Astyanax mexicanus: one gene and its partner. Each later gene encodes a partner of the first gene's protein in a complex. Links are inferred from orthologs where the notes say so. Each region holds a gene or a part of one and is shown on either strand. Other genes may lie near its edges.

Region 1 (17,397 bases):
GGGAGCACATTAATAAATAGTTAAGAAAATTGTAATAATCACGCAGTGATTCTCATGCACGCAACAAAAAAACCCTAAGCACAAAAAAGGAGCGGAGAATGGACCGACACGCGCACACACACACCGATTTTTTTTTGTAATGTGGTAAGAAACGTGACCGCACTATTCAACGCGGTTTTAATAAATATTTTTTTTTTATTTTAAGCACTAAATGTAATTTATTACATTTATTTAGGACCGCGGGGCAGGTGCGGCAAAACTGTGTATGTGGCGGGCTGATGCGGGATTAAAAGAAGGATTTTTTTTGCGGAACGGTAACGGGACAAAAAAGAAATGATGTCTGAATTAATTTCCTCCAATCAAATATAATTTAACATGGTTTAAGAATATAAAATAATTTATAAACAAACGAAATATTTAATATTGAGCTAATAGCCCAAGTGCAAAAATACAAAATCTGTAATACTCTGCACTGCACAATTCAAACGAAATAGCCGTAACGCAGCTGCGCTCCTGCCCTGCGATGCAGCCGAAGCCTGGTGTGAGGCAGCAGAAATTCTGGGGTGAAAACTACATAACTACACAACATAAGGAGACATAATGCACTCCAAATATTCAGGAGGGAAGTGAAATAAATGATACTGTACTAGAGTTGCACGGTGTACCGAAGGGTCGATTCTTTTTCGATACTACGTCATCACAAACGATTCGGTTCTTTAGCGTTCGATGCTTTCGATACTGTATATAGCCCAGTCACTAGCTTCAAATGAGTCAAATTAGTAGGCGCGATTTGATTCAGTTCATAAGAAAACTGATTCACACCGCAGCAGTCGGTGTGGCAGGATTCAGATAAACTTAGTGTTCTGAACAAATGAATCGATTCACGCGCAAGCCAGCAGAGCAGCAGCGAGTGTAGAATGGCGACGGCTAAAATAACAGATGTCTCTCGTCCGCGACTTGTGGACAAAATGGGCGCGAGGAGTGAAGTGTGGGAAAATAGTCTGAGATGTAGGCATCTGTTTTTTATTGATATTTTTATTTTTAAATAAAATAACGAAAACTGAAAGTGAAACTAAACTACTTTATTTATTAGCGCTGTTTTCACTCCCGCAGTTGTACAGCGGGGGGTGTTGTGCCGATTCTGTCCGCGAAGCGGGAGTCGGATTCAGTAGCGGATTCGGCGGCACCTCGCGCTCCGCGGTGTTAGTTGTAAGCGCTCGCGCTAACCGCAAAATACGACAGAAAACACTGAGGGAGCTGCAGAATTATGTGTGGGACTAGAATATGAGCACGAGGAGATCAAAGAGAACCTTTACCTGTGAGTAGCTCACATCAGAACACGCAAATCTCTCGCTCTCTCACTCTCTCACTCTTTCTCTGTGTCTCTCTCGCACGTGAACGCCTCCGCGTTTGACTTGCAGCACTGTGTTTAGCTGTTCTTAAAAATCATTTTAATTAAATAATAGTTCTATGCTTCTATGTTACAGTGTTATTTAACATAATTCTGATCGTATTTCGCTCATTCATTTAGCAGACAAGCACCCTGATCTCTACAAAGAGCTGAGAAGTCGACAGGTTAGTGGAGTTAGTCAAGATACACTCTGTCTGTAGCTTTACTAAGATTTACTAGCGACTGCTAGTAAATCACGTTAACACGGAGAGGAGTGTGCAGGAGTTTTGTTTTGGACCCGTGGTTTTCTCTATTTCTCCATTATCCCATTGGCTGTGAAACATGAACTCAAGATGTTCACGTTTTTGCGTTTCCATCGCAAATCTATGGTCAGGCACGTAGCCTGCTTGATCGTTACACTGAACATGGGCTTATTAAAAACGGTAAACGGTTGATTAATAAAATGGAGCAGTCAGTGTTAAAATGAACATAACATTGTAATGTTCTTCTGTCTCTTTATTTTCCTTATTCAGAACTTAACTTCTGCCCGCCCGTCAGGTTCACATAGTCAGGCTACCATTACCTCTGGTTTTAGTTTTAGTTTTTAGGAAGTGTTTAGATAATTATGTTATAGTTAAGGTTATAATAACGAAACTTGTTTTTTTGTACAAATGTTTCATTTTAGAATAAAAACGTTTGCACCGATTGTTCAGTGTTCAATCCAGTTCAGTCAAAAATAAACATTTTATGTTCAGATATTTTTATTGTTTTTTTTTCTTCCAAGTATCGTTTTGGTATCGAGAATCGTGATACTACAGTTGGTATCGGTATCGAAGTAAAAATTTTGGTATCGTGACAACCCTATACTGTACAGATATAATCTGTATCTAGTAGATATTTAATGAGAAATAAGAAGAGTGTGAATAAAAAAAAAAACAGACGCCTATCACAGACTTCTTGAGCCTTGAGCCCGAACGGCCCGAGGAAAGGGGTGAGAAATATATTTTTTTCAGGGCCGGGGGTCAGTGGAAAATTTTGCTGTGGATTAATTCGTCTTTTTCTCGCGGTTAACCGCAATATCGCGGTGATGCGTTAGTTTTTTACCGCGGTTATAAAAAATCAATACCGCCCCAGCCCTAGTGATACGAGCCTCTCACACACAAAACAGCTGCCTTTCAACCACAGAGGATAAGCTGAAAACGGATTTATAGAACTATAGAACACAGTGAGGTTGATTTAAAAATCTTAAACTTTTGATTGACTACACCTGTTGAATTAAAAAGCATCACGGATACGCCCACACGAATACGCCGACATGGCGAGCCAAGTGATCAGGTGTTCTGTCGAATTGTGCTACCCTCTCAAACCGTGCTACTCTTATGTGTATACTTCGAGGTAAAAATACAAAGGAAGCACAATATTAGAGTATGTTTCCGGTAAGAAGTTCATGTACTGTAATTGGAAAGCCTAAATCACTGTTTCAGATATTTTATTATTATTATTAGTATTATTATTAGGGGGGGCTTTACTCTGTATAAAGAACTCAAAGAAAGCCAACATATTTCCATGGACTTGTATGCATTTGAATATGTACAGTGTCCTTATGAAGTCAAAAGCATAACCAAATACTTCTGATAATAGTGCTTTGAATTTATCTTGTCAGTGTTTATTTGATGCTCTGCAAGAGCTAAGCATATAAATAGCTGTATGTGTTGTTTTGGTGAAAGGAATCAGATTTGTGGAATTTCAACAAAGCAGTTAATAATTTTCAGTTTGTTTTTAGAGTTTTGAGAAACTGAGCTGAGTTTCTAGAATATTTATTAGTTACTATTATTATTATTAGGGGGGCCTTGATGCTTTCAAGTTGTAAACAGGTGGGTTGTAAGGTAGAAAAGGTTGAGAACCCCTGGGTTAGGGGTCAATGAGCTTACCAAACAATTTAATGTAAAAATTTATGCACCTGCCTAATTTAGTTTATTGAATTGTTGCACACTTTTTGTAAATCCTATAAACTTTATTTCACTGCTCTGTGTTCGTCTGACATATGATCTATTTAACTGAAATTGCTGATCCAAACAACCAATGATTTATAAATAAATATTCTGAAAATTACCACTGTATATTACAGTCCACAGGTTATATTTAAATGCAGGTAAAGCATTTCACATAGAGAGAAAACACTGTAAAGAAAAAAACCCTGAAATGAATGTGTTAAACATAACATCACATAATTTTCTTGTCAGACAGGCCAACCATGAATGCATGCTTTTGCAAACAACTTTATACACAGTACAATATTTTGCTTTACTAAATATAATAAGATAATTGAACACTACAGCAAAATACAAGAGGAGAACTGTTTTTAAACAAAATGCCACATATTTATATCAGCTGCCGGCTGCCCATCACAGACACTGTCACAACACCCTGAGTCATCCCAGCACAGCAAAGCGCCAGCCTCCACCCAGCGCAGTGTGGGCAGCAGCTACAACAACAGCCTGGATAAAGAGTGGGAGTGCAAAACCTGATCTGGGAATAGAATACTTTGAAGTTGCCTGTACTGAAGCAGCAGAACTGAGATCAGTTCTAAATGCCATCACTGGCTGAAAACACTATGCAGTGCAACAGACTGTAAGCTAACATGGCTGCCGTTATGGGATCTGCAAACAGAAAGGCACAGTTCCATGCTTTGCACACTGGTCCCTACTCCCAAATATTTACGCCACAAGATCGTTTTGATAAGCCGGATGTGTCCGTCTAGCACTAATCTTAGCAGAGCGAAGAGTGTAAATAAACTGACTGAGAAACAGACGTGATTTATTTACATCAGTTTACTTGATTCCATCCTGTTAATGGCGGGAGAACAGAATGTCCTAATTTCCTTTGGCTTAGCAGAGTGGAAAATTACTTGATTGGCAAACATGGGTAGTGAAAGACAAGCTGGACACATTTAACTGTTTCTGTGTTCTGGAGTGTGCGCATGTAGAACAGCATCTATAACCTGCAGCAGCGTCAGAGTTTCATTACCAGATTTGCTGAAACAGCATTGCAGCCAGGAATGCATGATAATCTTCACATATGATAATATTTTTTTTTTTTAAATAAAAGCAGGATTGGTCATTAAAGACTGTTCTGCTTTTGTCTTGGTGGAGATGACCAGCGAATCCATGTGTGGAACACCATGATCAGTGGTTTGTTGTCAAGCATCACACATCCAGATACCAGACTTGGTATTTTAGTAGATGGTGCAATTTTTTATAATGCCCTATTACCTTAATTAAAGCCCATTAATGAGGGCCTGCAACCAGTGGCCCTATTTTGTATAAACGCACACTCTGGTGCTGGTGCACTATTCCAACAAGACAATGCTCATTTTACACCATGGCCAGTTGCGTTGCCAGACCTATCCCTGAATGAAAATGCATGAAATGCTATTTGAGGCGCTACCATTACTTTACGCCTACAGCAAAATCCACAGAAACAAGCCATCTGCATGGCATTTATTATCACAGGACAATCTCAAAAAACAATTATATGCAGAGATGCTTGAAATGTGAAATTACACAAACATTACACACTATTTTCTATGGGTACCTAAATAGATTTATGGATTAATTCGAAATTTTTAATCGTTTATGGTTCTAGGTAACCTTTACCTTTCTTCTGAAAAGCATTGCAATCTAAAAATCTAGCAACTATTCAGACTTTTGTCTATAGTTTCAATAAGGCTGATTCTTGACTGTGCCTGATGCGAACAGCGCCTCAGCAATATAACAACTTCTTATTAAAACACTGGCATAAATATCCTTAAACACCAGTTAAAAAACCCATTATTATAGTGGTGACATATCTGCAATGGGCGAGGACAGATACTATTAACAGACGACACTCAACAGTGTCACCGTCTTCCCACACACAGAGATTCAGTGAGGGAAAAACTAACCAAAATGTTTCCACACAAACAACACATAAGTTGTTTCTAGAAATGAAACAACTGAGATGGAAACCTGTGTAGCAACTGCAATATTAAGATATCATCCTGTGGAAGGCAGTTTTGTATATACTGATATTAATTATATATTGATAAGCCCAACGATTTCCACAGAAAATCATTGCCGAACTGAGCAGCCACAAATAAGCCTAAAGTCAAATATCAAATAAACAACTCCAGTAGAGCGGTAAAACAAATTAACGTTAAAGTTAATTAAAGTCTAAAGCCTTTCTTCAGCAAGGAGGTCAAAACTCAATAATAATAATGATAATAACAATTATATCTCTGCTTTGAAGAAAAAGGTGGACAAGATGATATCTACAAACACTTACATGTAAAGCATGTTATGTCTGTGCACAGATATTGACACGCACCTTGACATTGCGAAGGCCTTTTTCAAAAAGCAACAGCATCTCGGACAGCTTGTTGTCAGAGTGCACGTTGTAGATGGTACGGCTGCGCTGCTGCAGCAGATCGATTATGTATTCATTCTCAATCTGCTCATGGATCTTGAACACCTTGAAGGTGGCGCAGAGCGTCTGCAGGAAGGCGCGGAAGTCATTGTTGTTGGAAAAGTTTGTCTTTGACAGCTGTATGTAGTGAAATGAGAGAAAGAAGGAAAAAGGTGTCAATATCTAATATGCATATGTTGGGTATTAGGTGATACGGCAAATAACTTTGAAATACATTTTTATAATTAAAGATAAGCTATATAATATAAATAATCAATTTATAAATAAAGCTAAATAATACTTGCTATGATGCTGGTCTTCACTTCTGCCAATCCTCTTTCCATGTGAGTGTTTAAAAAGTAGCTATACTCCACAGACTTGTCCTCAACACCTTTAATAATCAATAAATGTCTACACATAAATGTCTAGCCAGCTGAGACTAAGCAGCAGTCAGGGAAGATTGGGAGCAGTTTAGGCTGCTTATGTAAGCATGTGCAGCCTGCATCTTTTTGTTGCTGTAATGATCACTTTTAACTAGTTAAACTCTGTTTAACGACTCCCCAAAAAACAAAACAAGTAGTAGGCCTGACAAGATAATACAATTACTGACTAACCAAACAATCAATACAATCCCTAAACAAACTATATTTCCCATAATGTTTACTTACTTAAAAAGACAAATTAAACTATAAGCTATTTATCCATGAGACAGCATGTTTCTTTTAATAAGGAAAACTAAAAATACTCCTAATGAATTATGAACTATAATTAACATTACACAGTTGCAAGAAAAGTATGTGAAACCTTTGTGAGTACTTGAATTTCCACCATAGACCATAGTTTGGATGAGGTTTTGATGGTGTGCTGTGCCTTTTTTCTCCACACATAGCGTTGTGTGTTCTTTCCAAACAACTTAATTTTGGTTTTATCTATCCACAGTATATTTAACCAGTCAGTTAGTTCTCTAAAACATCCAGGTGCTCTTTTGTAAACTTCAATGGTGCAGCAATGATTTTTTGAACAGCAGTTTTATAACAAACAAATTTTAACCAATTTGACACTATAAACACACAGCAAAGCACCATTTATATTAAATGTATGATAACATAAACTGGGAAAACAGTCAATAATCTCAAACTGCGTGCACCTAACGTAAGTTAGATAATAATGTGGGTTAAGCAGTAAACTAAAGATTATGGTAAGTTAGTTAGCTAACACCAGGGATCCTCTCACCACAGCAGCACGTAATGCACGTACTAACCTACGTTAGCTGGCAGCTAAACTACAGCTACCTACTGGGGCTAATTGTAGCTAGTAAGTTAGTCAGGGAGTCAGACATGTTTAATGACTGCGCAGTTAATGAATATTAGTCTAATACTTTTGTAAAGTTTAGAACAGCCTTATAAGATTATGATGTAAGCACAGGAACCGAGCAAAGGAAACATGGCTAGTTAGGTTAGCTATCTTAAGCTTTACGTCTACAGTTAACGTTGGCTAGCTAATGGTGTAGCTGGGTTAGCATGTTAGGCTAGTGTAGCTTAGTCCACTTTTTCAGAATATTTGAAAGAGCTTGTTTCTTATTTTAGAGAGATTTTGGAGAGCAACGTGTTCATAAAACTGTGTAGTAACGTGCTATTGTCCGTTAATTAAAAATACATTTGGGTTTACCTTAGCTACGTTAGCTAGCTAACCTTAGCTATTTCCAAGGCTTTCATTCTTTTGCACCAACACACCCCTGGTTCAGCTTTAGCTAGCTAGGCTACGTCAAGCTAATTCCGTCTCTATCACAGTGTTGAAGACGACACTAGTGTTATTTTCTGTTTCTAACTAATGTCTTTACATGTTAAGTGATAATAATGGTGAACTAGCGATTTACAGCCACAATAAACACGCTGAGCTCTAGTGTTTGGTTAGCTAAGCTAGGCTAGATAAACAGAGAGCCTGTAACTAAGCACCGTAACGACCGTTAACGTTATTAAACCCATTAAACAATATGAATTGTTAATGAAAACCAGTAAAGCAGGTAGCGGTCGGATTCCCAGTATACCTTGTCGCAGTAAAGGCCGACCAGCTGCTTCATTCGCCAGTGTGGCCCAGTGAACACGTCCACCTCGTCCGGGAAAGGCGCCATCGCGCTCCATGGACTCAGTACACAGCTCCACTACAGCAGTACAGTTCCATCAGACCTGACCCCTCACACCGCACCAGCACACACACGCAGGGCTGTGCGATACTGCAAAAATTTCCATCGATCCAATACCAAGGAAATAAAGGGCCAGTACTGCCGATACTGATATGAATACTTTTTACTCTTACCATCTTTTTTGTGTAGGGGAGAGCAATTTATTAAGTGAATGCATCATCAATATGCAAATTTGAATGATTTTTTTTTATTATTATTTAATTATTTTGTTTTATTTTATAAATAATTATGTTTTTGATGGTAATAAAACACAGTTTATAGAAAACTTAAAATGCCCCTTTTGGGGTGGTAATCTGCATTTGCAATTAACAAACAGATTTTTCCCAATGTTCTCTTGACAGTTAACATAAAATATGTATTCAGCCATATTCATATTTCAGTTTTGAGGCATAACTATATCTTTTTGTAGGTAGCATATCTATTTTTCAGTTCCAGTGAAATAATTTATTTAGTTTTAGAAAAGGGGAGAGGCTAATTGAGCATGAGTGAAGTGAGAGAGAAGTCGTGTTTTACAGTCAGTCGGTCACTCTGTAGATGCCTGGAGTTGTACTGAAGATAAACCGAAACTTAAGAAGCAAACTAGAGATTATAGTTAATTAGCTAACGCCATAGATTCTCTCACTACTGCACGTACTAACCTACATTATCTCACGGCTAAACTAGAGCTCCCTACTGGGGCTAAGTGTACCTAGTAGTCGGGTAGTCAGACATGTTTAATGACTGTGCAGTTAATGAATAATTTTGTAAAGTTTAAAACAGCCTTATAATATTATAATGTAAGCATGGGGATGGAGGAAGGGAATAATAATGGCTAGTTAGGTTTACGTCTATAGTTAATGTTTGCTTGCTAAGGCATAAAATGGGCTAGTTCAGTATGAGTGAAATGAGAGAAGAGCAGTGTTTTATGGCCAGTCGGTTAATCTGTACATGCCTGGAGTTGTACAGAAGATGAACTGAAACCTAATCGATCTCATCACACAAGTATTAATAAATACCAACATTAGTATCAATACTATCAATATTTTAAATTGATCTGCCCCTAACACACACTACACAGCCTTCAGCACAAAACTGTGCCTTCTGGGGTCTCATAACTATATTACATACTTGTAAAGTGTAAAATAGTCAGTGTACAGCTTGTATAACAGTGTAAATTTGCTGTTCCCTCAAAATAACTCAACACATTGCCATTATTGTCTAAACTGCTGGCAACAAAAGTGAGTACACCCCTATGTAAAAAAATGGCCAAATTGTGCCCAAGGACATCAGAAGGCACAGTATTACAGTATTCTAAATATATAGTACACCCCTATTTTTGTAAATATTTTATTATATCTTTTCATAGGACACAACTAAAAAAAAATAAATAAATCAGTGAACAGCTTCATGTGTGAATTTGCTGTGCCTCCAAAATAACTGAACACATGGCCATTTATGTCTAAACTGTGCTGATAACAGAAAGTATAGATAGCCCTTTAGTGAAAAAGGCCAAATTATGCCACTCGTTAGTGTTAAATTTGGTATTTTGTGTACAATTCTCTGTTATTTGCCACTTGGTATTCAACATGGCACTTCATGGCAAGAAATTGTGGCAAGAACTGAAATGTTTCTCTCTACAAAGCTGGTCTGATCTATCAGAAGATTGCTAACACCCTAAAACAGCATGATGGCCAAGGTCATACAGCAGCTTTCCAGGATGGGTTCCATTCAGAACAGGCCTTCTCAGAGTCATTCAAAGAACTTGAGTTCACGTGTTCATGTGTAATATACAAGGGCATAGGAGCGGGTTTGAAATTGGGGGGACACATTTGCCAATATGAACCCAAGCCCACCCTGTAGTTTCCTAGAACAACATTTGTGGAAATTACTTTTAATTAAAAGTAAATTATTATTAAAATGTGACTTTACAACCTAAACATGTTATTTGGTTATTATTATTATTATTATTATTATTATTATTTATTGGCATGTCAATTCTGTCATATCTTTACGTTTTCTCCTGCGCTTTATTATTTTCTACTGAGAGCTCTTCTTAAGATGGTGTCCTTTTATGTAAAAGAATGTAACTTTGCGTTTCATAGACATGTGGTCACTTTGAGCTACAAATTAACAGAAGTCAGGTTAGATCAGTGTTTCTCAACCCTGTTCTTACATGTTATACTGCATATTAACACTGTTCTCCATATTCTAGAGCTCCCTCTGCTTTAAAGGCATTTAATAGGGTAAGTGGTGGTATGATGTGTTTAATACACTGCTGGATATACATGATTAATTTAGGCTCCATAGGGGGCTAAGAGATTTTAACAGGTAAACTCGGTAAATGACTGTTTATTAGCCGATCAGCTGGATCAGGTGGAAAACACAATTTTGGGGCAGTGATCAGGGTTAAGAAACTGCTTTAAACTAAAACATAAAGTACTGTACTAAATTCTGGCTATCCACTACATCTGGCTTCTAGCAAACTAGTTAACTAAATGAATTTTCGTTCATTATAGCTCACAGTAAGTCCTGTAATCCTAAATTAATAAACACAGTTTGACAAAATGAAATAGCGATTAGCTGATCAGGTACAGGGCAAGTTGAACATTACATATATAGTTTTTTTCTTTAACCTTGACTCCCAATATAACTAATTCCAAAGTTAAGCTAACTCACTAACACAGCTGCAGTTTATTAATCACAGTGGGATTAAACTTTTTGCTGATTCAGAGACGTGTATTTTTAACCAGCTATCAGAAACATATCATCACTGTTGACGTGGTTAGCCTATCGTTACCTTTTTTTTTTTTTTTTTTTTAAATCTCCGTATATCCAGATCTGTTTTTAAATCAGCTGCTGCTGCAGCCCGATCCCGCTGCTAAATCTCACAGCGAGGGGGCGGGGCTTCCACCACCAGCACACTGCCTCTCCTCCCCGCGTCGCAAAACCAGCAAGCTGATTGGCTGTTTTTACTGAGAGGCGGGAATTAATACATGAACTGGCTCCGTGATTGGTCCGGTCTGTCTCCTCATTAGTACAGCTGATCTGAGCGAAACGATATCATTTTTGGGGGGGGCAACCACCTGTTTCTAATATGTCCCCCCCATCCCCCCCCACCCCCCCGGTTCCTAGCCAATGGTAATATACATAGTCTGGCTTTAAAAAAATAGAGTGCTGTCAGCATTGCTGCAGAGCTTGAAGAAATGGGAGGTCAGCCTGCAGTGCTCAGACCATACAGCAAAAGTCCTAAAAGGGATCCTCTTCTGAAGATGATGCACAGGAAAACACGCAGTCAAAGAACATGGATTACTGAAACCATGTCCTGCCTCAACAACTTGTTTGGCTCAGATGGTGTCCAGAATGTGTTGTGGCATCCTGGTCAGGACTACCAAGAAAACTATCCCTTATCTACTGTCAAATATGGTGGTGATAACATCATTGTCTGGGGCCATGTGAGTGCTGGCAGCACTGGGGAGAATTTCCTGTGACATTCTGAAGCAGAGCAGAAGCTGGAAACTCCAAATATGATAAAGGCCCCAAACCAAAATACCAATTGCTTTGCTGAGGAAGCTCAACATAAAAGTGATTGGCCAAGTATGTCTCTTGAACTTAACCCAACTGAGCATCTGTGGGGCATCCTCAAAAAGAAGGTGGAAGAGCTTTGCGCTCTTTAACAGTCTTTAACATTTACCAGCACTATTTACCATGGAGGAGTGGAAGAGGATTCAAGTAGCAACCTGTGAATCTCTAATAAACTCCAACTGAAAAATAATGGTGCCACACAAAATATTGACACTTTGGGCACAATTTGGCCTTTTCTACTTAGTGGTGTACTCACTTTTTAGACATTTATGACAGTGTGTTATTTTGAGGGAACAGCAAATTTAGTGTTATACGGGCTGTCAAAAGTATCAGTGTCATATCTTCAGTTTCCTACTGAACATTAAAACATTTAACAATGAATATTAAAATCTAAAATAAAAGTCAATGTTAGATAATCACAGTGAAACTATATTTACAGTAATAGGGTCAATCATGTAAAAAATGACTATTAATCACAACTTTACTGTCATTATTTCTGATTAAAATAATGGCCTTTAATAAAAATAAGGTTGACCTACAGTTGCACACATTGCACTGTTCATAGTGATCTTGTTCTGTTTGAGATAAATATTATTTTAATTACCCTGATATTTTAGGCCAACAGGGTGGACAGCTTAAGCTTTACATTAAATAAGTGTAGAGGTGTTACTTCACTGAACTAGGCCAAGTTATCCCAAGATGACAGGGTAGACAGGGAATATTTAGACATACAGTAGCTATGAAAATAGCTAAACGAATAACTGAAATGCTTAAACTGTTTTAAAAATCTTAGAAAAATTAAATTGGCAAAATAATGTAAACCTTTAGGACTAGCAGGTTATTGGTTCATTCATCATACTATTCTAAATCAATGTAAAGAGCAACTGCCAGAATCAACAATACTAAGACAATATTGAGATTTTTCTTTCTGTGGCAATGACAACATGCTTTTATATTCAAAAAATATTATTGCTCATTAGGAAAATCTCTTTAATAAGATATACTTAACAGGAAAAAACATAGAACAGTCCCAGTAAAATCTAGAGCAATCTGCCATCAATTGTACAGTGTTGGTCATTTTTAGAAAGTTTAGGCCTTGAGTATATTGTACATGAATTGAATGTGCTTCATAGAAAATACAAAGGGACAGTCTCCACAGACACACAGTTTAAAGACACAACTTTTAATGACAGACACAAAAGTGTGATTATGCAGCAGATAAAGAGAAATCAACACAGAAAAAAACAACAAAATGATAAATTATTATTACTATACTTTTGTATATAAATTCTTTTCTGTATTGGACAAAGAGGCCACAATAAACCTTTAATGGTCTAGAGCTAACCTATGCTCAAACTCCAAATTGAAGTTTATCCTTAAGGACTGTGTGACAGGACTGCTGATTTGCTCTTTTAAAATTGGGTAAGGTTGACGTTACTTTTAAATTTGTCAAACTATGGGGTGTCCAATTTTATGTGCAATGGGCCAGTGTAGATGGTTTTCATTCAAGCCAAATGTGCAGTTATCCAAGTGTGCTGTTTTTTTTAAGCGCATTATATTTTATATCTTACACCAATAAAAATCTGCACCTAATCTGCCTAAATACCCCTTATTTGACAAAAAAGTCCTTCTATGTAAAACACTTCAGGAGTTACCAGGGTGGTATGCACACAAATACCTAGCCTAAACTTCACCAGTCACCAAAAGCATGACTTATGTCTTCCCTGAAACTGAATCTCAAAAGGAGAAAAGGGAAAAAGTTCAAAACTTGCAAAAAGTCGAATTGATTTCAACTTTTTTTGCAACATTTCTATTGGTCCATTTATTATGAAATATTCACACAATGGAAAGGGCAGCAAATGGTGTAAATAAATCAAAAACAAATAAAAATGGACTAAATGCTTTCTATGCATTCTCAGAGAGGTCATATGGGACCTAATTGGCTGTGTTTAAACTCAAGGCTTTCTGATCTCTTTATTCTGACACTAAAATCAGTTGCAGATAAGTTTAAAACACATGGACAGATCCTTCCCCACTATAAAAAGACAAAACTAACCATTTTTCATCAGCAAAGCTTACAGTAGACGCTATGCCTTTTGACAAGAAGCCAAAAAAAGTGATCCAACTACCCTTAAACCTGGGGGGAGATTCCTAAAAGACCTTTCCTCTTAATTCATTTTAACATATTATATAAAGACACTTTATAAAGAAATCATATAGCATGATACTAAGCCTGTCTTAACATAGTGGCTTCTAAAACCCACTCTTGGCTGATTCTTTTCTGGTCCATTATCTTCTCGCTCTTCTCCTCCAATGCAGAGTTGTGTCCACACCAGAACACGATCTAAGAGATCTAGAGTTTAGCTATCAGCCTGCAACATCTCTTCAATCTCACGGTCCCAGTTGTCATCACGGTTTTCCGTGTCTGCCACAACCTCGTACTCCTGCAATTCCCTCTGCAGCTCCCTCTCCCACTCTGATGCATCTTCTGATTAAGAAAAAAAAAACAAAAACGAGAACAAGTAAGTGACTTTTATCTAACGCTGCCTGTACATTTTCCTGTAAAATATTTGGATACACTTCTAAATGTATTGTTCCCGCAATCATCACAAGGTGTCCAGGGCCTGTGCAGCAAAGTAGCCCCAAACCAGAACACTCTCTTCACCATGCTTCACAGTTAAGAGAAGGTTTTGATGGTGTTGTGGAGTTTTCCACTCAAACATAGCAATGAGCATTTGTGGTAAAAAGGTGAACTTTTATCTGATCTGTTCATCAGGGGTGAGCAGTATGATTAATTAATAAGATTAATTTCAAGAATATACAACAGCAACAAAATAAATGTAATAGTTATAAATATTGAGCAGATATATGGTAAATGTAAACACATGTTTTGCAAACAATAAACAACCAGAACTCTGATCATTTTAAATAAAATAATAATAATATAACAAAATATAACATGAATACAATGTAGCAAAAAAAATCTACCACAATACCTAAGCACAGAACATTTAGTGCATGCGTATAAACTGCAACAATTATTCCAAAAATAGCCGTATGACTAAAATTACAATATTGTTGTTTTTTTTCAAATCACCATATTACTGTATCACAATATACTGAGTATAATATGAGGTGGTACACCCCTATTGTCCATACACTAACCACCAACAAATCTGTGGAAGATTTGTTAGTGGTTAGCTTTGTGTGGCTTTAGTTCATGGGCAAGGCACCTACATATGCACCTACATCTACAAATGCACCTACATCTACAAATTAGCAAAAAACTCACCATCCTGAGGGGACACATCCTCTTTCTTGTCCAGAACCAGCTGCTCCATCTCCTTCCGCAGGTCTTCTTGATTGATATTACATGAATCAAATGCGTCACTCACAAACTCAGAAACGCCAGGGCTGGTAGAGATCTCCTCCTCCTCGTGCTGCAGGAGAATTCATATAAGAAACATTCACTGTCGTTGTTTTTATTTATTTACTGACCAATTGACAATGTGAACAGTTGGGGTTCTTTTGTACCTCATTGGACTTGGGTTTCGCATTGATGGTTGTAGGTGGTGTTTTTGGTCTGATGGTTTCTGTTAAAGAAGAAAAATGCTGAAACTTTACAATAAAATGAAAGCAAAAGACCACATGCATTTCTGGACAAGCAGGGAGATGCAGAACTGTTACTGAAAGCAAAAAAGGATGTGGACTGAGGCAGTAAAGTAATATTACACTAATATGACTCAGGTTACCGAGCATTACGCAGTTCTGTTGAACATGCCTGCATCTAAAGTCCAGTTAGCAGCGTGTTGAGCTTACAGTAGCATTAGTAATGACAACAAATCTCTCTATTACAAGTCAGGATTAAGAACCACTAATCACTGTAGTGCACTCTAGTGAGATGATGGTGAAACCTGGTATGCTCTCGGTCTGTGGAGAAGCTCCGTTCTTCTCTTCCTCTCTTCTTTCAGCAGCCTGCTGCTGTGCTGCCAGCGCTGTGAGCTGAGCAGACTGCTTTATGAGAGACACACGGTAGAAATAGTTCCTCCAGAACACTTCCTCCTTCACCCTAAAGCACACAGACACAGAAACACTTGAGAAATACAAATCTGTGCACATTTAAACAGATGCAGTTTAACATAAATACATTAAAATGCAACAAGAAGTATCATTCTAAAGAAAGTAGTTGAGATATTGTGAGCGAGTCTGGAGAACAAAGCCTGATTCCAGATTTCTCTTGGAACATCTCCCCAGCCAGTGCTCCAGTGGATGTGCTCAATTCTGCCTGATTTGTCATCATTAAGCTCTGATTTGCAAAACCAGAGGGATGGTAAATATAATAATACTAGACTCCATGAGCAGAGCTTTAAGGATGTTTCAGGGATCACAGAGATATAAAACCAAAACTTTTGTATAAACATTTTGTTTTTATGTTAATATTAAGAGTTTTATAACACTACTCAGAAAGCTTATTCATTCACATGGATGTCTAAGATATTACTAGCACATTTCTGTATGTATATATGCTTGATGACACAATATTGTGCCCTAATCACCCATACAACCGTACTTACGCAAAAAAAGCTTCTTAAAACCCACATACTTAGTTTTTTTTAAGATTCTGTGTTCACAATGTATTTGACATTTGTTCACTCTATGAAAATTAATCTTAAAAGCATAGCTTTAAATAAACAGTTCTGTTAAAATACTGTAAATCACACATTTTTACCAAATATTTACCAATTCTTTTGTAAAGCCTATATATTATTATAATAAATAAAATGTTTTACATGTAATATTTACATACTTTACTACTGTTTTAATATATTAATCAGTATAAAATTAACCAGTACTTAATTATATAACATTAAGTGAACAACTACATTGATTTTCATTTTCAACACATTTTAACTTTAGATTCTCCACAAGGGGGTGCAAATAACACTCAAAGTATTGACGTCTTCATAACAGTGGTGCATCACATCAGATATAAACAAAGTTTCCCTTCTTCAGCTGTTTCTCAGAACAGAAGGTGCAGAACAGATGAAAGTGCCTGCTGTCCTTTACTCACTGTTTGGGCACCAAGTCAAAACGCATCCTGTTAAGCAGCTCGTCTTCCTGCAGCATGACCAGGGCAATGGGATACATTTGATCAACATCAAACTGGAACTGCACGCCGGCTGGAGGGTCACGAAGGAAGTTTCTTTTGTCCTGGAAAAAAGCAAGTATTAAAAAATTATTTCATACTGAATATTTTTAAGATGAATGCTGTTGTTTTTTTCAAACAGGAACAATAAATCTTACAGCTGATAGAGCAAGTATCTGTTGCTGGATAGTCTCCTCCTCACTGTATCCCACCCAGGGAGGCACAGCTGTGTCTACAGGAAAAAAAAAAGTATTACATCCAAAAATATTCAGCACAGTGATATTGGACAATAGATGTCTATTCCAAATGCAATCTAATTTTATATTTCACATTGTGTCTGATTATACTCACCTGATTTTTTAGCATTCTTCTCTTGCACAAACTTTTCCTGCTCTTTCTGAAAATCTCCTAGAATGGTCTGAGGAAAGACAGATAAAACTGGGCATGTAAGTTAAAATAATAAAGCACTTCATATCCATTTAACATTGAAATCATTATTAAAATAAGTGATAGAAAAGTTACTATTTTAACTAGTCTCCTTTGAAGGGATGATATGTGGTATCACTGAAAAAGCGTAATATGACATTATTAAAATTATTCCAATACATTGTTAAGCAAAACAGCATCTTCTCGAGCACACGTGTGATTATATGT
Region 2 (16,438 bases), on another chromosome or scaffold:
TAAACTGAAAGCAAACATTACTGTCTCATGTATCCCTACAAATTGTGAGATTTGCATGAAGTACAAAAGACAGAAACTGGGAGTAAATCACTAATTGGGTCTAGTTTTTGAAAACCACATGGATGCAGATCTATCATTCTACACACATCTTAGTTATATTTTAATAATCTTAATTAATTTCAATACCACCACTGCTTTTCTCATATGGTGCAATTTTGCTATTCTCTGTGTAACCATAGTTAAAAATGCATAAAGAAAAATGAAAGAACTAAAAGAACATTGAAGAAAAATCTAGGAACAGAAATCACTAACATAAGACATTAGCCTTAATCACAGTCATCTTCAGTTTGAGCGTCTAATGAACTTTACCATTTGCTAAAGTCGATTTGTAGTGAGTGATCTACTATAAGGTCAGTAGGACATTTGGGGTTGATGAGGTTGGGGTCGATTCCGTTCTTTGCCACAGCATCTCTCATGGCTGCCAGGTCCACCATGGCTGGAATGCCCCTGTGAGTAGGATTACACACACAGATTCAAACACATAACTACAGAACTACTTTTAACACAGACAAGTAATCAATACAATTTAAAAACTCACGTGAAGTCCTGCAGCAGGACTCGTGCAGGGAAGAACGGGATTTCTGCCTCATTCTGTCGTTCTTCCCAGTTCAGAATATTGTCCACATCTTCCTGCTTCACATAAAAGCCATCACACTTCCGGATGGCAGACTCTAGCAGCACACGAATAGAAAGCGGCAGTCTCTCTGAAAGAAGGAGGGTAAAATAATATGTAGGGATCACTCATCAGCGATTCTTTTTATTTGAACATGTACACTTGTGTAAACATTTGCTCCTGGTCAAATGGCATAAATAAGTGCATGTCCTCTACAAAGAACACACTTCTGCACATTTAATACAGGTTTACTCTATTAAGTGAACTGAAACTAAATGTCTGTTTTACCCACCAGTAGTGCCCAAACCATTGCATGGAAATAACCTGGACAATATTTAATGTACTTTAAGTGTAACAAAATGTAGACTTTATCACAATGTAGTTACGTTAGGGACATCACTCAGGATTAATCATTCTCCTGTTTTATATTTCCCACCAAATTCCATTTTTTCTTCAAAATGTAATGTATTGCAGACTTCTCACATTTGTGTCTTTGTATTTAAAATGAGTTTTAAGCCTTAATTCCACAATTGAGATTGTGTGCTCTACATCATGTTAATCAAACATTAACAGACAAACAGGAAGTTAAACCACTATAAATATTACATTTTCTCCTATCTACCTGCACAGCAGTGTGTGGCACATTATCTTTCACACATTTTACACTTAAATCCTCATTTCTATGTTGCATTATTTTAACTTCTTGGTAAATGATGCTGCAATTACACAGTATTTACCCCAATGCTAACACAGATCTTAGCATAAAAGAAATAGAACACCAAGTGCATATTGTGATATGCAGCCTTTGTCATGTTTCCATGCAAATAAGCTCATTTGCATTATGTAAGCATTAACAAAACAAATTACACAGTTCTAAAAAAAACAAAAAAGGTGTTGTAAATTTACTCAGCAATAAGGCTTACTGACAGGTATAACTCACTGCCTACTGACTAGCTGCTTTCTGGTCAGCATATCAGTTGGGTTCTGGGTCAACAGAAAGCTTTACAAATACCTGTGGTAAAGATATCATCTGCTTATCTCACGGCACTTACCATATTTGGGATCCCCAAGTTTCTGAGGATTGAAATATTTCTGGGCTTCATTTTTCTCAGTTTGTAGTGTGTCAATCAAATGGGCAAATGGGTGCTCTGCACAAAAATAACACAAAGCCATATTACATCTAGTAACACCACCTTTACAATATTGCAACAGTTTTAAAAAAATAAATGGGTAAATAAATAACTCTTTGATTTGGAGGGTGCTACTAATCAAAAAGAACAGTCAACTAAAAGGTATTTGGTTTAATATATTAAGAGAAAAAAGAAATCACAAAGAGACTTACTGAAACAGCATCTTCTACATGAGCAACTGAGAAAATTTAGATACCCACTGAACCATGAAGTTAATATGTGTAGGACTAACATGCCTCATGGTGGAAAGATAAAGATTTTAACCCCACTAACAGGAGACCGGTATTATCCAGAGTGCACCTTTCAGCCCAATTAATGAGTAGCAAAGCTAGCTTACACCAATAACCACTGTTTTTAGTGTAAGACAAAGCAGCAACTTTCAGTTTTTTCCACTTTAAGCTCCTTTAAGTTTTGTACAGGGAATCACATAATCTCTCACAGAGATTATCGCTGTTATTATTAAAATGTTGTTAGGATATCCATTTCCGCAGTATTGAAATCTACTTAAACAAAAAACAATTGTAAAAGCACTTCTGTTTGTGTACAGTCAGCTTAGATTCCCAGTGTTTGCTAAGATGTGGTCTTAATTAAGGGAATCCCAATATCAAACATTTGAGCCTTTGCTACAAGATTTGTACCAAGTTTGCCTGGCATCTATGTGCCATTAATGTGGCATTTGGCCCCGCCTAAAATATACAAAATAATATTCATTGTTCTGTAAATTTTAGTTTTCACATTTTAAATACAATGTCTTAAAACATTCTGAATAATGTTTATGGAAAGAGAGACCAGTCCTTAAGTATTGCAAATGCTACTATTTCCTTACTGATGTACTAAAAAAAATAACCTTTCAACATACTAGTACATACATACTAGGGGTGTCACGATCTCGATATTTTATCGAAATCGAATCGAAATGAGGTCACGATCTCGAGTATCGAAGTCAAAAAGAGGATCGACGATCCCTCCCGCGCGCGCTACGCAAATGGCGCGGCACCAACACAGCGCATCCTATTCATTTAAATAGAGATAGCCACTGCATGAGCGCAGTCGGCGGGAGTGTGATCACTGTTTTTTATCTGTCCAACGGGGGAGGGGGGGCGGGGGGGTGCGCGCAGGTTTTGTATCTGTATCTAACGGAGGGGTGGGTGCGCGCAGGTGAGAGCGTGTGAACTCGCTGAAATGCGTGTGTCAGTGTGACTTGAGAACACTGACTATAGATCACAGTGAGGTGGATTAAAAATCTTAAACTTATAATTGACTACACCTGTTGCTTTCCATTGAATTAAAAAAACATCTTTCTCTCAGATAAAGTAAACACAAGCGTGTTTCTGACTAAAATAAAAGCTTTTCAGGAGAGATATAAGTTATGTGTAAATATTTATAAGACAATACCCACATCACTTATCTAACCAGCCTGTACTGATTTCTGCCCCCCAATAATGCTTTCAATAACCTCTTGTAACCCCTGGGAGCCAGGGGTTACACTCTAATAGCCTTTAATAGTCTTCAGTAGCCTTTAAAAGACTTACCTGGCGGCCGTGGTGTGTCCACTAAACTCCGTAGTTATAAACATCCTGAGGTTAGCAGCGCGCTAACTGACCTGTTTATAATGTAATCCCAGCAGTGCCTCCGTGTCGGCTGTTCTAACCTGCTGCTGTTAGCTGCTTGGGCTGAAAGATGAACTGTAGTGAGCTGTATTATCCGGTTAGTGGGGTTAAAACCTTTATTTGTTTACAGAAACGGTAAAAACGGACTGGCTGAGCTCTGTAGCCCGTGGCTGGGCTGTACTGAAGTAGTGACTGAGTTTAGAGAGCGGGGCTTGTGCTGCTGCAGCTCCGACTAGTGGTTGGATGAAGAACTGCAGCTTCATGTAATGAGCAGTTTCACCAGCCATCCACACACAGCTCTGATAAACTGCTTGTTTTAATAGTGCACACTGTTGCTACCAAAAAAAGTCACTAGATGGCATTACCATATATATCTTAATAAATAATAATAATAATATTTATAATATTTATAATAATAATAATAATAATAATAATAATAATAATAAATATATTATTTAAATTTTATGAGGCATAAAATAATAACAAGAAAAAAAAACAAGAAAATCGAGAATCGAATCGAATCGTGACCCTCAAATCGAAAATGAAATCGAATCGAGGATTTAGAGAATCGTGACACCCCTAATACATACTAATGTTTAAAAGATCAGTAATAATTCTCCCAAATCTCTTGAGCTGTGTAGGGGCCTGGAGTGAAATTTAGTGTAATTTCTACAAACACCAGTCACCATCATTAACAAAACAGAGGCAGTCATTACAGTGTTGACAGTAGTTTTCAAAACCAAAACAATCTGAGTGGTTCTCACGAACATCTATGTATTCAATTCAAGATTTTATTGTCACGTCACAGAGTACAGGTGTACATGTGAGTGAAAAACTTGGGTGCAGATTCCCACCAATGCGCAAAGAATAATATTTACAAGAGAGTAATAAAATAATATAAAATATATAAAAATAGGACATACAGATAACTTACAGTATAAACACTATTTACAATACACTTAATTACAATAAACATGATAACTTACACTATAGACAAATATTGCACAGAACAGATATGCACAGATGTAGATATGCGGATAGTGTGGAAGTAGTCAGTATGTGACAGTATAGCTATGAATGTATAGCTTAGCGTAAGTATCAAACAGAGAAAGTGTAAGGGCAGTGTTCTGGACCTCATTTAAACACAGACACAGAAAAATGAAAAAACATTTTTGTGTTTCAGATAGTGTTACACTTTTTCAAGCTATGAAGTTAACCCCATTGTCAAATGACCAAAAGAGGTGTGGCAGATATCAGACAGTGACAATTAGAGGCCGACCGATCGATCGGCCAGCCGATTTAATCGGCCGATTTTTGTTATTTTTTTATCAATCGGCATCGGCCGATTTTCTTATTTGGCCAAGCCGATTTTAATCCGGCACATCTGCGGGCAGCTACTTGGAACGCAGCGCAAGGTTTCAAGAGTGAGCAAGACTTTCAACGGGTAAGGCATCCATTTTTACAATCCAGTGTCCCAAAGTCTATATTTTCTCTCATGATTAGTAATCTGTGATGTTGCTTCATTTACTGAAAAAGAATAGAATTTCAACTGCATCGGTGTTGTAGCATTTCTCTCCAAACGAAACTATGCTTAGCGTTGATGGCAGGAGTGCATTTGGAATGCGCCCTGACTATGCAAGGCAAGCCCTATCTATAAGCTCTAGTATAAAATAACTGACGTCTCTTCTTCAGAAACGAAAATCTAAGTAAATAAAATCAAATTAACACTTGATATTTTCAGTATTTAAATTATTTTTAGACGAAATGAAAAAGGGCAGGACTAAAACTGTTTAAGGATATTCGCAGCATCAGCTGCGCTGAAATAATAATTACTGGTTAGTCAGGATTATTAGAGGACTGTACTTCTCCTTATATATAAATAAGCTTTATTGTAAACGAATTAATAAAACAAATAGTTTCTAAAATAATGGAGTTAAAATAAAACATCTCTTTTTCCTTCACTACAAACAGACATTAAATCATGCCGCCTCCTGCTGTTCTGCTGTAAAACTCACCCGTTTAAAGCGGTTTGCGCTGTTAGATATTAAATGAAACGATGAGCAGAATTTTCTGTTTTGTCGGGTTCTACTTTAGAACCCCCTCCAGACTTTTCTGATAAAAGCTCATTTTATCCTGAACCTATAAAGTCCGCGCTCTTCAGCTTTCTCAACTCATTTTCCGCTCACGCACCGAACCTCCAGTACAGCTGATGAGACGCGTTTCTCTGGCTAAGGAGCTCATTTGAAGAAGAAAAAAAAAAACAGATAAAGCTATATTTAAATTACAGCACCTGTCTGTTTTTGCATTATTTATAATTTTATTCTTAATTTAAACGTCACCCATTTTTGTAAAATAATAGCTGCAGCCCTAATGTGAACATTTTATAACATTGTCCTCCCATGTCCATTCGTTTTCAACTGCATGGAGTTGAAGAAGAAATGAGCTTTGCCGTTTTGGAGTAACTATCTAAAGTTGTCACATTATGGAAGTCTTCTTGCACTCTGTTAAACATATTAAAATGAATAATTAATAGACTAACAGACTGCAACAAGTCATACATTTGTTAATTAGTAGGCCCCTACAGTAAATTTTATATAATAGCCAACATAATATTTCTACTATAAACATGAATATATAGTGTATATAGAACATATGTTATATAATGAATAAAATAAAATGTTATGGATAATACAATCTAAATAAAAGTAATATTTTTTTTATTAACATATAGTGCATACCTGTCAAATTTTAGATTAAAAAATAAGGGATATTTTCCTCTGTCCGCTTAAAGTTGTCCCACCAGCCCAACGTAGGTTCAGTATCCCGTACATTTTAAGACAGGTTTACAAAAAAAATCTAAAATAACGACATGTGAACCACTTACACACAATTAGATGATCAGAATCTGAAATGTTGCAGACATTCCTACATATGTCATTCTTTTAATACAGCCAAATTAAAAACACTTTTCCAAATATTTTTTTAAAAGTTAAGATTTCATGTCTTTTTGGCATAAATGCACTCTTTTTTTATAATATATTTTTTATTTATTTAATGGATTCAAAATTGAACAAAGGGTGCACAAATTCTGCAAACTGAATCTTTTGATCACTCCACCCCTGATCAGTTTAGTTAATTTTTAACATTTCTAGTTCAAGCTGTATTTTTTTTTTTTAAGGTTTAATCTGTGTGTTTTATTTCAGAGACGAGTATTTTTAAGCAGCTATCAGAAAAATCTCATCACAGTTTACATGATTAGCCTACCGTTCCCTTTCTTTTAGAAAAATCGCTGTATATCCAGATATGTTTTAACATCAGCTGCTCCGACTAGCTGCCTGTGGCTTCCCCACACTGACCCTCCTTTGCAAGCTGATTGGCTGTTTCTCCTGAAAGGCGGGACTTTCTCCTTGAACCGGCTGCACGATTGGTTAAGAGACACAGAGCAGTCAGCTCCCTGTCTCCTCAATAATATATATATTTTTTATTTTAATATAATACGGGAAATTTACGGGAAAATACTAATACGGGAGGACAGCGGGAAAGAGGAGTAAAATACGGTAGTTTCCCGGCCAAAACGGGAGACTTGACAGGTATGATATAGTGATATAGTAACATTAAAGTCACTATAAAATGCTAACCTTATTTTCAATAAATTGTGTGAAGTTTACAACTGTTGTGCCTCCTCTTACTAGTATGATTTTAAGCATGCCAAATAAGTATAATACGATAGCATATCGTCACTAAAAATCGGCAGGTCACATCGGCCATCGGCTGACTCTGACCACTAATGATCGGTATCGGCATCGGCCTTAGAAAAACCCATATCGGTCGGTCTCTAGTGACAATGTGACTGTAACTGTAAAACCTAAACTTAAATAACGTGCAGTCAACATACCACCGTATGCCAATTTATTTACATTAATGTAACTCTTGAACCAAACAAACTCAGTAAATTTAGAGACATTACACTCCGTGACACACTCTAAGAGGTCTTCTGATCTTTGCAGACAATAATTCAGTAAAGGAAACCGGCAACAGTAGCTACAGGCCAGCAGTGGGTTGGGTGGACAGGGAGGGAACACTCTCCTTATCTCTGGAGCCAAATGCTCTTCCTTACTAGATTAGAAGACCCCTACTGAGGCATAATGAAACACACTTCAACTATTTAAAGATTAAAGCCCCCTGTAACTTTTAAGCCACATCATCATCCAAATCTACAGACTACTAAGTATTTCCTATCATGCCTGCACTTATTAGTCTACATAATCGACAATGTTAATTACAACAAATTGTCGACTTATTGGTCATTTGTAATTGCAATGCACTACAGTGCTGTGGACAGAAATGCAGTGGGAGAGCAGCAATGAATTCACTCACAGGTTACACAGATGTGATTAATCACATATTTCTACTGTGCTTAATTTGTTATATTTTTTAATCGACACCACTAGTCATAAATCGCTTTATTATTTGTAATGGGATCTAGTTATCTAGTTTTATGTTAAGGCAGAAACAGGACAACAGTCTGCCATTCACAGGTTGAGCAGACGAGGTAACTTAGTTAAAACATGTAACTATTGGAACAGAAGCTGCGCCCACTGGAAACTATAGACTCTAATCGATTATACGGGGGGAAAACGTCCCATTATCCGACGACTAAAATAGCTATTGGTTGCAGCTCCAGCGACTGTATATGTACACAGGAGCTTTACGGACAGTGGCAGACAATACTTGAGAACAAACCTCTAGCTGGGTTAGCTAGCTAGCGTAGCTAACCTAACACCTTAACGTACTTCTGAAGACGTTTGACATTTGGCTGACATTTGTAACTAGTTAGCTAACGTTTCATGTTCTTAAGAAACCTAACTTTAGTTAATTACCCTAACGCTAGTTAGCTAACGCTGCGGACCACACATTACGGCTAAAGTTAGTAGTTAAGGGAACGACGCCCGCTGTCCTGCGTCGCTGCTCTTTAATGTCAGCAGAGCCGAACCGGTGTTCTGTCGAATTCTCCTACCTTGTCGAACCGTGCTGCCCCAATGTATATTTAACTGTAAAAATACAAAAGAAGCACTATTTTAGGGCATGTACCCAGTGATATTCCAGTAGATGTACGTTATTAGATTTGGATTGCATAATTCATTGTACCATGGCAAAGTTATAGTAAATATAGCTCATTACAAACTGCTTTTGTATTTATTTATGATAATAAGTGTAATTTTTTGTTTCCCTTTACACGTTTGTGCAATGACAGTTCGTCCAGGTTGTTTAATACACATAAACCCCCCTAAACCAGATTAATTATACATAAAAAACGAGAAATAATTAAATAGTGTAGGTCGGCGCATGCGCAGTAACTTTGGGAAGCATGTATCGATGGGTAGGAAAATTCGACAGAACACCGGCAGCTTTAGCTTTAACAGCCCGTTATGTCAATGCTAGCTAGTTAGCCTGTCGGCTAATGAGAGGGGGATTTTAAATAGCTCCTCTCCTAACCGACACCGCCGCTGTGTGAAGAGCTACTCACACTCCTCGCTGACAGGCTATAAACCCCGGGGTAAAGAGTTATTATCGCAGGCTGGAGGAGAGGGCTCTTACCTTGCTGTGAGGAAGTGAGCGCCATGATGACTTCTGAGATTAACACGACTCTGCTCGAGAGGAGTGTGGTAACGCCTCCCCCACATCCAGCCAATTAGCGACAGGAGTGAGGTCAAAGCCACGCCCACCTGCCCAATGCAGTGGCGTAACAACAGCGCCGGATGTGGCGCTGATAGAAACCTCTAGATAGAAACTCTAGAGAGGAGAACTCCAACTTTATTATAATGTATTCCTGTAGCCCGGGCTTTGTCATACCACCAGGGGCGCTCCCGAGTCCAAAATGAATGGGTTTAAATGGAGTGAGCAAAATAAGAGTTTGTAAATGTTTAATAATTTTTATACAGGATAATGTACACATTCTCTCAATACAGAGCAAAGTCAAACGTTTTAGTACCGCATACATTATTTTAAAGCTCTTAACCTTCAGATAAAAGCCTTTTAAAACTGCTCTGACCGTAACTCCAGCATTAGCTTACCGACCAGTCAACTCACAGTAGCACCAAATGCTAGCGTCTTTACTGCTTAAAATCATTTTGCTGTAGACAAATGGGCACATACAGGCTGGTTTCATTTGCTTTCCAACTAAAACGTAATTCTACATTCTAAAACTAAAGGAAAACTTTTGACAAGTAGTTAGACAGTATGATTATTTTGAGTTTTTAGCCCTTAAGCTCCATTTACCCATTCACTAAGGACTCTCCCACGGGCTCCCTCTGGCGGTTTTTAGTCATTTTTGATCTAACGGGGGAAATAGGAAATGGGTAGGCTCTCCATAACCCGGCTCTGTAGAAACCTCCACAGAACAGCGTGACTTTATCATGGAGCCGGACAGTCCAGTTTAAAGGCCGTGAGAGACATTAATTCACCCCTCTGTCTAACATGCTGAGGTTCGCTGCCGTGTTTAAAATCGCGGACGTGTGTTAGTTATCAGGGCTCGAGTGGGAGGAGGAGATCATGTCGAGCTGACCTGGTGAGTGAGTTCAGATTGACATGATGTTGAGAGGTCAAAGAGGAGCTGTCTGCATGTAGCAAGCTGACCACAACGCTAACTACAGAGGATAGGAAGCGAGTAAAGGGGAAGATGAGCCGCAGTCAGCTCGAATAAACGCGCTTTGTTAAGACTGATTAAGGTCAGATGTTGTTCGGTTAGTGCTGCAGCTCCATGAGTCGGTTGTAGCTGGTGGGCCTGAGAAATCCTGGAGGGTGGAGGTCTGGTAGTAGCAGAAATGGTGTGTAGAACATCCACAGTGAAGAGTACGCTGTTGGGGAACACAAATAAGTATAAGGTTTATCAGTTCAGTTTAACCTAAAATGCTTTACGTGTTTTATTAAAAAATGCGTAAAATAAAAACTAAATAAAGAAAATCTTAAGTTGGCTTGAAAATACTGCTGTTGGAGTAAATGGTGCTAAAAATTTCGGCTATTGGAGCTGTGTTCAAAAACACTTGGATAAATGGTGGAATGCTTATAATTTTGTCTCTAGATTAGTATCCAAAAACCTAATATGTCACAGAAAATGGGTTGAGTGTTTCTAAGAATTTTGTGGTTCTAGCTAAAACTAAAACGTAATTTTTTGACAAACTTTTTTTGCGGACACTTTGAATGGAATCCTATGGGATAATATTCAAGCATAAAAGCGTTGGCTGTACGAAAAATGCACAACATATTGCTCCAAAAAAAAGCACAAGCAACTTAATCCTGTTCTTCGATTCTGCAAGATTTCTCGTTTTACGTTGAAAGCTGTGGGAGTTGATGGTGAATAAATTTTTTTACAAATAAAGGAATAAGAATAAGATCACGAAGAACAGTAAATTGGATTTTCCAAGCCAACTTAATATTACAAAACAGTAAGCTATATGAACAAAAACAGTACATTTTGGGCCTAAACATAAAAAAGAATGTAAAACCTTTTTTACAATTTCGATAGAAAATTACTAATTTGACAGAGCAACAAAATGTTTTTTTGTTTTGTTTTGGTGTTTTTGGCCATTTTTTGCTACATAACTTTGGTTTGTTAAATATTTGATGCATCCCTAAAAAGAAGTATAATACCAGTCAGATGTTTGAACAAACCTTACCATTTAATGTTTTTCTTTGTTTCTTTATTTTATTTTTACATTGTCAATTAAGACATGAAAACAATTAAGGGGCACATATGGAATTACGTAGTAAACAAAAAAAGGTTTGTCCTCCACAATGCCCTGACCTAAATCCTAAAATTGAGATGATTGATTTAGGATGAGCTGGTGCACAGTGTGGAGGAAAAGCAGCAACTATTGTTCAGCACCTCCAGAAAAAAACAAACACATTTAACACTAAATATTTTTAATTATCACAAGAGTTCACACATAGTCTGAATGTGCCTTTTGAAAATATTTCAGTTTAAACCTTATTATGTAAAATATGTTACCTTAACCATTATTAAGTTCTTTAAGTCTGTGTTTTTTAAGCTTTGAGTTGTATAAGGTTGTGAAGGTATCAGGTGGGTAAAGGTATTTGCCCTTTTGAACAATTCACAAAACGCATCTCGCGCTAATAATTTCAGTGTGGTGGGCTTGCCTCACCTTTGCACTGATCATGTGAAGACCTTTGGTCTCTTGACACTGCTGGGTGTGCTATAATAACATACTAGCTAAACAAAACTCCAAGCCTTCAACATCTGTTTGATTCAACCCTTCTTTCTTATCCTGTTCACAAGTCCCAGCCTAATTTCTAATGTGTTGTGTAAATGGAATTTCAGGACACTGGATACGCCTTAAAAATCAGTGTTTTTAAAATTATTAAAAAAAGTTATGTGTTGTAGATTAATAATAATTTCATTTACACTATGAAGAAAAATATGTAATTATCTAGTAAAAAGGTGTTAAAAAAATCAGAATGTTATATATTTTAGATTCTTCATAGTAGGCATGCCTTGCTTAGATGACAAAATCTTGGGATTTGCTTTATGAGGTACAGTCACCTGCAAGGCCTTTTTGATTTAACAGTTGTGCTGAACTTGTTAAGAGTTAATTACTTGAATTTCTTGCCTCTTGATGTGTTTGAGAGCATAAGTTTGTGTTGTGAAGAGATAGAGTTGGTATACAGTAAATAGTAGGGGAGTGACGAGACACTAATACCACGAGACGAGACGAGACACGATATTGGGTTCACGATAACGAGACGAGACGAGATTTAAAAATAAAATTTTAAAGAAAACTTTTTTTTTTTTCTTTGGACAAAATCATATACCGCAAACTTAACAGACTGGTTTCTCTCACACATTGATTCTATAAGGAATAGAAATAACACAATTAAATCCTTCTCAGTAGTTTATCGGTTTGGGTCCGCATTGGACAACGTTTGGGTCCGGACCGCGGTCCGCCCATTTTCCTCTTCTGCTGAGAGCTGCTCTCACACTCGCTGCTACTGGGTTCAGTCAATCAGATCCCTCTTAAAAAGTCCACATTAAACTTTTTTTTTCTCTCGCGAGACAGGTTTAAGCTTGACGAGAAATATCGTCAAATTTAATCTCGCGAGATCTCGTGGCATGATATCTCGTCACACCCCTAGTAAATAGCCATATTTGAGTAAAGTTCTAATATATATTATGGCAAAAAATACTCAACTAAGTACAGAAAAATACTCTAAGAAATAAGGGTCAGTCAATCTGAAAGACTTAACAGTTTTAAAAGTGTCCTCATGTGCAGTCGCAAGGACCAAAATGCTTTGAAGAAACTGGCTGTCATTGAGACTTCACAGAGAAAAGAAGACCAAGAGTTATCTCTGTTGCACAGAATAAGTTCATCAGATTTACCAGCTTCAGAAACCACAAGTTAACAGCACCCCAGATAAAAGTAAATTGGTTTGTTTAACAGTTTAGGTTACTACATGATTTCTCATGTATTCCTTTATAGCCTGGATGACTTCAGTGTTCATTTAGAATGTAGGGAAAAAAAGAAAAAAATGATTCAGAAAATGTGTCCCAACTTTTGACTGGTACTCTATACTTGAGCTTTACAGTTAGTTTTTTCTGTTGACCTTATCCTCTTTATTGTCTATATGTCTGCAGATTAATGGACAGGTGTGGTGGTGCAAGGCCTGTCAGGTGAAGAATAATATCAGCTGGAATAATGCAGCAGAAACGGAATATCCGGATTATAGAATGGGAGGACCTGGACAAAAGGAAGTTTTACTCCCTTGGTGTATTCATGACCTTGACAACTCGTGCTACTGTTTACCCCTTCACCCTAATCCGAACTCGACTTCAGATTCAGAAGGGAAAGTCGCTCTACAACGGCACTTTTGATGCCTTTTGTAAGATCCTGAAAGCAGAAGGGATGCAGGGACTGTATCGGGGCTTTATGGTCAACACCTTCACACTGATCTCAGGGCAAGCCTACATCACCACATATGAGCTGGTGAGAAAGTACGTGTCTCAGTATTCCTCCAGCAACACTCTTAAGTCACTGGTTGCTGGGGGCTCAGCTTCACTGGTGGCCCAAAGCATCACTGTTCCCATTGACGTTGTCTCCCAGCAGCTCATGATGCAAGGCCAGGGAGAACATCTCACACGCTTTAAGCTCAAGTCCAAGATGGTGGTGGCCACATCTAAACATAAAGTGACTTTCGGACAGACCAAGGACATTATGGTGCAGATATTTGCAGCAGATGGTTTTCAGGGGTTTTATCGTGGATATGTGGCCTCACTCCTCACCTACATCCCCAACAGTGCCTTGTGGTGGCCTTTTTATCACTTTTATGCAGGTAAATTATATGCTGGTGAATGTCCTTCCTAATGCACAGTCTTGTCACTGAACAATGTTCTCTTAAGTATGTAACTTTTTCTTCAGAGCAGGATGTTCACAGAGAATGGCCAGACCATATACTAGATATCTCAAGCTTGTTTTAAGTGTAGTTATAAGATGGATCGATGGATTGATAGATACTTTATTGATCCCGAATAGATAGATATCTTGAAGCTCCAGGATCAAGTACATTCAACTGCGTTAAAGTTCTCACATTCATTGAAACATATTGTTTTTTAACCCAACATTTTTTGTTTATGAAAACACATACTTTTGGTTTAAACCATGGTTAAAGGCACCTTTTACACCTGTCTTGTTTGGTCAAGACCTTTTAGAGTTTGGTCTTAGCCACAAGAGCAGGTATGAGAGGTGCCTTTAACCACAGTTCAAACCAAAGGCACAACATCGGTCTGAACAAAATCGGAGTCTTACTTCCACGGTCCAGTTTATTTGCAGACTTTTGCACCCAAAACAAGAAGTTAAAGCAGGCTGTCATTTTTTTAATGGCATAAAAATAAATGTTGTGCCAAAATCTGACTGCCCTTTGCATATAAGCATGATAGATTGTACTTTTGTTTACCGCGTCTTCTGTAACTGAACATTAACCCTTATTTATAAACAGAAATAAAGGAATTCAATAGTTATCCTCTACAATCATGATGCTGCATAAGACATCATGATATCATAATAACACTTAAAAATGCATTTTGTCAAATTGAAAACACAAAAATATCTGTCGCATATCTGTGTACAAAGTATAGAAAAGTGCATTCCACACGGTGATGAAAGTTTTTAGACCAAATGTATAGAATGTTTAAAAAAAACCAAAAAAAAAACAGTAACCCTATTTTGGACTCTTGACACAAAAGTTCTGTTTGCTTACATATGAATTAGTTTTGCTCACTGTTTAGAAGCAATTTTTACCTGTTGTACTTCATTTCAAATCAGCTCCAGGTGGTACAGGTTGGTTTGAAAATGCTTGTGCATGACAGTTTTTAATAGTGCCACTTACATCGAGTTAATGTCAGATCTGGACTTTAACTATGTAGACTTTGTAGAAGGTTTTCTGTTTGGTGCTGCTGAAACAACAAGTATCTCCCAATATTTTGTTTTCAACTGACAAAAGCAGAGTGTCTTATAGTATCTTCCTGTTTTTTGCACAATTCATTAGTCCTGCAGTATTGACAAGATGTCAAGAACCCCACAACATGATGCTGCCTGTTATTCCCATATTTCAGTGTTGGGATTGTGGTAGAAGGACTTCAGAGTAAATGAGGAGCTGAAAATTCTCAAAGTGTACTGTAGCCTTGAAATACTATTTCTAGGCCTACCATATCTAGACACATGTTGGGTGTGTTCATTTATTTTCAGTGTAAATACGCTTGTCATGGCAGCATACTGAGAACAAGGAGACAAAAAATAAGATTTGTAAAGCCATCTTACTGTGTTTGGCCTGTTTTTATTTCATTGTCAAATTGATGTTTAGGTTCCGAACGGCTTATGTGTTAAGTTTAAACCAGTTATCATAACCAGTTATTAAATGGCCCAATGCCCAGGGTGTAGGTTACTGTGTTTCTGTTATTGTATTAAAAAAGACTTCTGTGCACTTCTTAACTCCTATTACTTATATACATTGTTGCTGTAATTTTGGAGCATTTCTGTTGGTCCAATAATTATGACATTTGGGACCAGTGTAAACAACTGCCAGATAAATTATTTATTATATCATATAGTGTTGTGTTTGTATAATGTCTGATGAATTATGTCCTGTCTGTCTCTAAAACAGAGCAGCTATCCAGGCTGGCTCCCTCTAACTGCCCTCATCTGCTTCTGCAGGCTGTGGCTGGGCCCATGGCTGCAGCCACTGCCTCCACCATTACAAACCCTATGGATGTAGTGAGAGCCAGAGTACAGGTATCACAACGTCATTGTCATTCTACTCACAAACGTAAAGTACATTTAGAACACATTTTTGTTTATATGACTGTAACACACTGGCCCACTGGTATAACAATTAAGTTAATGCATAGTCCCATTAATGGTATCTGTTTATTTGCACGGCATTTCCGGAATGTCTAAGATGCATTCTAAAGCTGCACAGCTGCAGTTTATAAGAGCTTTTTTGAGAAGGCTTTTTGAAAGCATTACAGTCGTGCACTCAGTACACTCAAGCAGTATTCTGTCCGATTACGTAAAATCAAAATACTGAATAATATAAATACTGATACATACTACTAAATATAATACGGTAAGTGTGGATCCACCAACGTAACTAAAAATAAATTATTCCAGTAAAGGTAGAAGTAAACACAGATCAGTAAGCATGCAACATCTTTCACTGCAATATGAGCATGTGCAGTAGTCACATTGCAGGACTTGCAATATCATATAAGTCTAATTTTAATAAATGTTACAACTTTTTTGCTGCTTGATGCGAGAGGCAAATACACACTGTTGATCTTCCAAAACATATTTATATCAAAGACAGATTTAAATCTCATTATCTTGAGATAAAACTGACCGAGCGTAGAGGAAGGTGAAACTGCAGATTTGAACACAGTTTAGGGTAGGGGTACTCAT

What was found.
Region 2: the proteins of fbxl5 (region 1) and ireb2 are in contact, whole or in part, in a cryo-EM structure (PDB 6VCD), measured with the Homo sapiens proteins. The link is inferred for Astyanax mexicanus from reciprocal best matches to the Homo sapiens genes FBXL5 and IREB2. Residues at the interface, in NP_036293.1 of Homo sapiens: Asp656, Glu657, Tyr661, Cys662, Asp663, Asn664, Ile665, His669, Ala670, Asp671, Thr672, Ala673, Ser674, Gly675, Cys676, Gln677, Asn678, Leu679, Gln680, Cys687, Arg688, Ser689, Gly690, Glu691; in NP_004127.2 of Homo sapiens: Asp89, Phe90, Ser129, Asn217, Val220, Glu221, Arg224, Arg228, Ala758, Gly759, Ser760, Arg763, Asn764, Thr777, Pro778, Arg779, Asn782, Ser783, Tyr784, Gly785, Ala786, Arg788.

The regions. Positions count from the first base shown.
Region 1 is NC_064420.1:11,517,355-11,534,751, reverse strand, and holds the start of fbxl5 (F-box/LRR-repeat protein 5), read right to left. Parts: upstream 8,033-17,397; 5' UTR 7,965-8,032; coding exon 7,881-7,964; intron 5,972-7,880; coding exon 5,756-5,971; intron 1-5,755. Other genes in the region: syap1 (synapse-associated protein 1), read right to left, coding at 13,958-14,085, 14,890-15,037, 15,132-15,190, 15,512-15,666, 16,669-16,808, 16,902-16,975, 17,095-17,161.
Region 2 is NC_064409.1:42,468,063-42,484,500, forward strand, and holds the start of ireb2 (iron-responsive element-binding protein 2), read right to left. Parts: upstream 9,180-16,438; 5' UTR 9,097-9,179; coding exon 9,072-9,096; intron 1,822-9,071; coding exon 1,726-1,821; intron 765-1,725; coding exon 599-764; intron 508-598; coding exon 370-507; intron 1-369. Other genes in the region: slc25a44a (solute carrier family 25 member 44a), read left to right, coding at 13,184-13,817, 15,645-15,772. UniProt on the Homo sapiens protein: RNA-binding protein that binds to iron-responsive elements (IRES), which are stem-loop structures found in the 5'-UTR of ferritin, and delta aminolevulinic acid synthase mRNAs, and in the 3'-UTR of transferrin receptor mRNA.